2 linked regions of the Ovis aries genome follow. The protein of the gene in region 1 purifies or fractionates together with the protein of each later gene. This does not show direct contact. Links are inferred from orthologs where the notes say so. Each region holds a gene or a part of one and is shown on either strand. Other genes may lie near its edges. The genes, in order: CCDC68 and CEP170.

Region 1 (3,826 bases):
GATCTTCGTTTTCTGAATGTTGAGCTTTAAGCCAACTTTTTCACTCTCCTCTTTCACTTTCATCAAGAGGCTCTTTAGTTCTTCTTCACTTTCTGATGAGGTGAGGTTAGGATTAATCTTTTTCTTTTTTTCCTGTGAGTATCCAGTTATCATATCAGTTATTGAAAATACTATCTTTTTAAAATAATATTCTGTAACATCATCTTTGATATAATTTGTCTGTTGGTCTATCTCTGCTGTATATACGTAAATGTAAAATAAGAGTGGTGTGGTTATAGCATAATTAGTTTTATCAGTCTTCTGTAGATGAACATTTAGATTGTTTCCATTTTTAAAGTTGTGGACAATAATAAACTATATTTTATGTGTATTTTATGACATATATATAGTATGTAATTGTACAGAACTTTTAGTAGAAATTATTTCATTCCTTAGGATAAATAATGATGGCTATCTTTATACATCATTTGTACTTGTGCAAACATTACTATAGTTTTTTCTATAGCAATTTTTTCTACAGTAAAACAAACTTTTTAAAACTCTTTTAAACAAGACTGAACAAGGGGAAAATTAAGATTGTCTTAAATATTGCAAGTTGCATGAAAGCTACTTGGTTTTAAGCAACTTTATTATATATTAAACATTATTGGGTGAACCATAGTTTTTAGTACTATCCTACTCAGAGCACTCAAAGGCTGGCTCAGGGACCATCAAAATCATTGGAACACCTAGAGCATGTTGGAACTGCAGACTCTCAGACCCTACTCCAGCTTGTTGGGTCAAAGTATGCATCTATAAGATTCTTGACAATTTAATAAGATCTTCCAATACATACTAAGTTTGAGAAGCAATGCTTTAGCACAGGATGTAAAACAATGGAAACTCTTTTTTAAAAATAAGAACAAGTTCTGTAGTGTCACATGAATTTCCATGACCTTTGTGATATTTGCAGACTATGAAAAGTCAGAATTGCGATTGCCTTGGATCTTGGCTACTAATTGTAAAGCCATAATACGCTAAAATAAAATAGTACTTTGTAAAAACTCATTTTCCAAAAGTACATTCACTTTACCTCTTAAAGTGTACCATGCAGTCTTGTAGTGCTGTAAAGCTAAGGATTATTATATCTGTTGTACTGAGGCTTAGAAAGATAGTGTGATTCCAAAGTCACAATGCTCCCAAGTCTGGTGGTCTTGCCACAAGGCGTTTTGCCTCAAACTCTCATAATAGTGAAAAGAAGAGAAATAGTCAAAGCTGTATAATCAATACCAGCTACCTAAATGGAGCTTTGGGAAAGGATGAATAATCTAAATTCAAACTTCACTCATCTTTCTTCACCAAGGTTGATATGCACTCAAAATATTAGCCAGAATTTAATTTTTTTTCTTGCCTTATTTACAGGTAGTTAAACTAACAAAAACAAGTAACTCCTCCTCCTGCCCTAAAAGGCAAACACAGGCAATTCGCTACATATATTAAACCCTGTATCCCTGAAAACTGGTTTCTGATATATATGAAAATTCCTGGCCCTGTGTTCTAATCCTACTATCCCAGTAATTATCTGTCTGTTATGGCTGCTAGGCCTACGGGTGCTCTCACAGGTGAGACAGATCAGTTACATAAGTGCTTCATCTGGCTCAGTCCAACTTGACTCAGCTACCTGCTGGAAGGAGGGAAGTCACAGGTGGCCCCAGAGGAGCTTTTGACAGGAACTGATCTTCACATTCAAGTTCATGTCTGAGCTAATCAGAGGCTGCTTCGTGGCTGTTTGTCTTCATGTGTCTTGTTTGGCGTAAGGCATCCTACACGCACGTTGCCCAGTAGGAGAGTAGTGTAGGAGGAGAGCTAGGTGGCACAGCTGTAAAAATAGCGGTATAATGCATTAGCAAATCTTTCCTTTTTCCTTTGCATTTCTAGTTGCCAGGATCTTCAAAAGGAGATTTCCCTCCTCCAGGAGCAGATCTCACATCTGCAGTTTGTGATTCACTCCCAGCATCAGAACCTGCGCAGTGTCATCCAGGAGGTCAGGTTAATCAAGTGTGTTTCTCTGGCAGATGGTATGTTTACAGTGAGAAGACCAAATACACGCGCCTTGTCTGGACTCTGCAACTGAGATCCTTCTCCCCACTGACATTTCCTTTTTATTCCCATGAGACATGGCTCTCTTTTCAGTGTCCTCTTTTGTCCCTTTGCCCACACCTGTGATGTTCTCAGTGAACATATTTGGGAAATTATATTTACTCTTTAGAGGTTTCAGTGATTTTTTTTTTTTTTTTTACAGTGTTCTGAGCCAGGTAATGTACACTGCTCTTTAGAAGATTTTTTAGATTAAGAGATTCAGCCTTCTTAGGGAAGAAATGATCTGTTTTCATTATTTCATGAAAAACGGTTAATTTACATAGGGGGTAGCACAGGGATGTGTTCTGGCCCTTCTTCACTGGAAACATCTCAGCAAGTGAAAGAGGTCATTGTGATGGCAGGCAGATGGATGGTGAATTGCACAGTCAATTTATGTCAATATTTATATTGATCTGCTTTAGACTGAAAACCAGACCTTCATTTTTGTTTGCTATATAATATTTGTTTCTAAATGGAGTCCTTCCAAATAACGCAAATGACTTTCTAATACAATTGCAGCATTTGTACTTGGTTGGCTAGATCTCACCAAAAGGCCAGAGAGTTGAGTCGTGGCAATTTGAGAGCCAGGGAGGATGGAGGGGGCATCCTATTTTATAGATGGGAAGGCTGAGGTCCACAGTAGTTAAATGGCAGAAGTGGCCTTGGAATCCACATGCTTCCTCTCTCACGGCATCATCCTGGAATTCATCACCCCACCTCCCCATCATCCCCACGTTGCCTCTTAGCAGATGTTCTTCCAGAGCAAAGTGGGCTCACCTTACATGCGTCTGGTTGACCAGATCTCTGCTGCAGGGAGTCGCCCTGTGCCAGGCTGTGGCTTTCCGCCATGTCCACTGGCCTCTGCTTCTGCAGGAGGAAAGCATTATGGGACCGAGTCACAGACAAGGACCCGGGTTGCTTCCTACAGGATGCATCCTGCTGAGCTTGGCTTAAACGGGTTTTCTAAAGATTAAAATGTTTAATCGCACCAGCTGTGTGCTTTCTTGTCCCCAGGTGCCAATCTGTCCTGCTATTTTCTGTAGCCTGCTGAGTCTGCTAATGCTCGGGATTTAATTTTGTTTATTTGATAAACATTATTTGACCACAGAAACCGGCACAATTTTTAACTTAAGGAACTATTCTTCATTGTCTGGCAAGATTTTTTCATTTCTATTTCTCAATTCTTAGATAGAGGCCTTAAAAAATAACTTAAAAGAACAAGATAAGAGAATTGAAGATCTGCAAGAAAAAGTTAACATACTGGAAGCCCAGGTAAGGAGGGCCTCTATTGTATATTTCAGTGTGAAAGTGAGTGTGTGTATGTTCAGTGTATCTGTGAGTCTGTCTATGACTGTGTCCTCTGTGTGTATGTGACATGCCTGTGTGTGAGTTCCTTGTGTGATGGTGTACCGGTGTGACACTATGTCCAAGTATGTCTGTATGTGAATGTGTGTGTCTGTGTGATTGTGTGTGACTGTGTGATTGTCTGTGTGACTGTGATTGTCTGTGTCTTTGTGTGAATGCAGGTGTCTGTGTCTGTCTATGAGTGTCTTTTTGTGAATGTGTGTTCATCTTCTATGCATAAGAATTAGAGCTTTGCTGGGGATGTACTCTTAATAATTATTTATTATCAATACTTTGGGCTTTCCTGGTGGCTCAGATGGTAAGGAATCTGCCTGCAATGCAGGAGACCCAGGTTCAATCCCTA
Region 2 (3,826 bases), on another chromosome or scaffold:
CCAACATTGCAGGATTTTAAAAAATCCTGTAAATTTTTGAGTTGAACAGAGTTACTTTCTTAAAATAAATGTAGCAAAGGATTATTGCTGAAATATTAAAGACTATTTCATGAAACTTGCAAAAGTTGCAGCTTTAACCTTTATAAACTGATGGATCAAGGGTTTCAAAAATCCAGTCTACTAATAATATTTAATTGAATTAAGAATTACCCAAAATTATAGTGTTCTGGAAACATAAAGATAATTACTTTCTTTTTAAACTTATCCAAATGTGAACTTACTGAAAAGAGAAAAAACAAGTTAATAGAAGATACTTTTCGTAAGCTTCCTGTTTAGCATAGGCCCAAAGCCTTGGTCGTTATCTTGTAGGGTCCTTATAAATGTATACGACTGAGACAGGATTTACTATTGGGTCCTACAGGGAAACACACAGAAGCAATTCATTGCTTGGGAGTGAAACTATCTACTAATCTTATGACTACTGGTTCTCCAAGTTTCCTAATGCCCCAAATTTTAATCTCATGATCATTTCAAGGGAAAAATTTTTTCAACTGTCACATACAAACTTGGTAACACAGGACCTGTATACATGTTCTTAGTTTTAAAAATAGACTCCACCTATAACCTATCTGTCTAGTTTAATCCTTCTACTTATCATTTGCCCTAAAATGAGACAAAATCTTACTTTCACTAAAAAAAAAAAAAAAAAAAAAGGGAAAAAAGTGCCAAATTGATCTTTTTGAAAGTGGAGTAAAACACTGTGGGGTTAAAACAAATACAATTATCAATCTCCTATATACAAAAACCGATGGTTAGTCCTTATTGATATATAGATATGTCCACCTACCACTCCCAGCAAATCTTAGTGCAAACATAATAGTTCATTTCCATAAACCCTAAGACAATTTACGCAGCAACAAAGTTATATAAATCACATATATGTTGGAAAATTTTAGAACACAAGAAGGACTGTTCTGAAAGGTCAGTTTGACTGTGGAGAGCAATGTCATTGTATCCAATGGTAATGAATACTAATATAAATCCTATTATTAAGAAGCAAATATAAGTGTTTAACAAATCTGTACAGACGAACAGCAAGTCCATTTCAGGGAGCAGCTTGGCACAGGAGACATGGGGGTCAGAAAGGTTGGGTTTTTAGTTTGCTTGTAGGTCACAGCATGGCTTAAAGAAAAAAAAAAACAAAGATCTATGAAGGGAAAGGATGCAATTATCTAATTCAATTTGAAAATCATAAAAACCACAAAATGTGAAAGTTTCACAATCTAGATTTTCCTCTATGTGCATCAAATGGTCATCTCAATGGTTCGAAAGGATTACTATGGCTCCATGTTATAGATAAAAAATAAATAAATAAAATTAAGAAGACAGAGATAACAAGATTGCAGTTGACCAAGCTGTCTTATTTTCTCTAAAAGTCAACACTACGCTGTTTCCAATAATTCTAGTCATTCCACAGGTAAATATTTTAACAAGCAAGAGAAAGTCATTCCTGTACTGTAACGTCCTCCTCTTCCCCATCGGGGTTGAACCTATTGAAATGTATACTGAAATCAGCCTCAGACTCGGCATTCTCAAATTCAGCTGAGACCGCACCAGCAGCAGGATGAAGAACCCTAGCTTCTGGTTGGCAAAGTGCCGGTGTCTGACCCGGGCTGCTGTGGTCATTCACAGGACTGGACTTCTGTTTTGGTGGAGATGGCAAGATAGCACTGGGAAATCCCATGTTGTTCAGAGCCTCCAAAGTTCCATCCGGGTCAATCATAGCATTGATAGCTGAAAGAAAGGAAAGGAATAGAGGGAAAAAGACATAACTACAGATGCAGCTAAATTTGGATATGAATATTGCTTATGATTTGGATAATATTTCAATTACTAATGCTTATATGAGCTTTAATTTGGTTAATCCTTCCAATTCTGGATTTAAAACCCCACTTTCAGTAATTCTGGGGCTCATCTATATCATAGATTATAAAAACCTCAAAGCTTTCTATGGTCCCTTGAGTAGGCTACTTACAGGCATCTGAACCTGCTGGAAGATAAGGATTTGGAGATGTGGCATTCAGGAAAGGTCTCTTTGAAATATGCTTTAATCATTACAAGAGGATGATGAAAATACCGGTTAGGACTGAAAGAAATTACTCCTGGCTTTATTACTCAGATTGGAGAAGGCGATGGCACCCCACTCCAGTATTCTTGCCTGGAGAATCCCATGGACGGAGGAGCCTGGTAGGCTGCAGTCCATGGGGTCGTGAAGAGTCAGACACGACTGAGCGACTTCACTTTCACTTTTCACTTTCATGCAATGGAGAAGGAAATGGCAACCCACTCCAGTGTTCTTGCCTGGAGAATCCCAGGGACAGGGGAGCCTAGTGGGCTGCCGTCTATGGGGTCGCACAGAGTCGGACACGACTGAAGCAACTTAGCAGTAGCAGTTATTACTCAGATAATTGGGATTAGTTGCTAAGATGGGGTTCAGAGTAACATGAAAGTTGAGGAGGCAAATAGCAAGCACACTCTGAAGCTATCATAGCATGTTGTCATTCATCCTGGTGAGGATGCTAGGGTATCTGCCATGCACAAGTATATATTTGTGGACCACTGAGCCATAAAAATCCTTCACAGTCTAGATATTCATATTCTATGGCAACCCCAGCAGGCCAAATAGACCTTGCATTCTCCATGGCAAGGGCCAGATAAAGACCAGCTTTCAATCCAAAAGATCCTTGAGTGGACAAGGGAAAGTCTTCAGCAGTGATTTTCAACGTGGTATTGGGTAGAGTGGAGAGTTGAGGAAAAGAAGCCTCACAGACAGAAGAATTATTTAAGAGGTCCTTTTAAAAGCATACTCCCTCCTGCCAGCTAACAATCATGTAAACAAGCCACTTTGCCTCATGGGGGTATACGCTTCGGTGTGCTGAGGCTAAGATTCAGAACCCCTGAGCCAGGACCAACACATCATGCCTATGATAATTCAAATACTGAGTAAAATTAGCAACCGACTCTGGAATCTGCCTGTTTTACCACTGGGGACTTCTAGGTCAAAACACACATAGGCATAAGTGCATAATTAAAGGTCTGACACAACCAAAAACAATGTCCCTGTTAAAGTTTAGGAGGCCAACAGTCTCTTTTTCTTCCCTACTCCCTCTTCTGGTCCCTGTGTCCAATGTGCACTCATTTCTTGTACATCCAAATGATTATTATGACTTATAAAATCGTTATTAGTTCATATGGGTTGTACCACAAATATAATTTAAGAATTATCAAATCAAGTAAACAAAGCTAATTGTCAAAAAGAATTTTCAGTGGCATATACATATTTTAATATATTATTTTACATATTTTTCATATACTATAATTTATGAATATATATAAATAATAGATACTATATTGTATAGAGATACAATATAATCTATATTGTATCTATTATATAGAAACAAATAATAGATACTATATAATACTACGAATTATATTTTTAATTATTTATGCTTTCTTTTTATGAGTAATTTGAATATGTAGAACTTTATATCTTTATTCATACATCACTACACTTAACCAAATAGTGTTCAAATAATTAACAGTATTTTAGAAATATCACTTAGGATGTACTTGTTCTAAAATTGGTAGCTTTTTATACTTAATCAGTAGTAAATTCACCTTGTAGCTGCTTTTCAACTCTTTTTAGCTCTTGTAAGATAGAAGAAATCTCCTGTAGGGAAAGCAATGACAAGAATTAGCTTACTTTAATTAAAACATTTTCATTTGATAAGCAACGAACCTTATACTAATTTTATTTGATATCCTT

What was found.
Region 2: the proteins of CCDC68 (region 1) and CEP170 purify together in Homo sapiens (co-immunoprecipitation; 3 studies listed by BioGRID and IntAct, counting the BioPlex papers as one, with this or other methods). This does not show direct contact. The link is inferred for Ovis aries from reciprocal best matches to the Homo sapiens genes CCDC68 and CEP170.

Annotation. Positions count from the first base shown.
Region 1 is NC_056076.1:54,630,954-54,634,779, reverse strand, and holds part of CCDC68 (coiled-coil domain-containing protein 68), read left to right. Parts: intron 1-1,917; coding exon 1,918-2,023; coding exon of another isoform or gene 2,024-2,205; exon of another isoform or gene 2,206-3,306; coding exon 3,307-3,390; intron 3,391-3,826. UniProt on the Homo sapiens protein: Centriolar protein required for centriole subdistal appendage assembly and microtubule anchoring in interphase cells. Together with CCDC120, cooperate with subdistal appendage components ODF2, NIN and CEP170 for hierarchical subdistal appendage assembly.
Region 2 is NC_056065.1:33,284,397-33,288,222, reverse strand, and holds part of CEP170 (centrosomal protein of 170 kDa), read right to left. Parts: intron 3,731-3,826; coding exon 3,679-3,730; intron 1,795-3,678; coding exon 1,505-1,794; 3' UTR 1,183-1,504; coding exon of another isoform or gene 1,172-1,182; 3' UTR 1-1,171.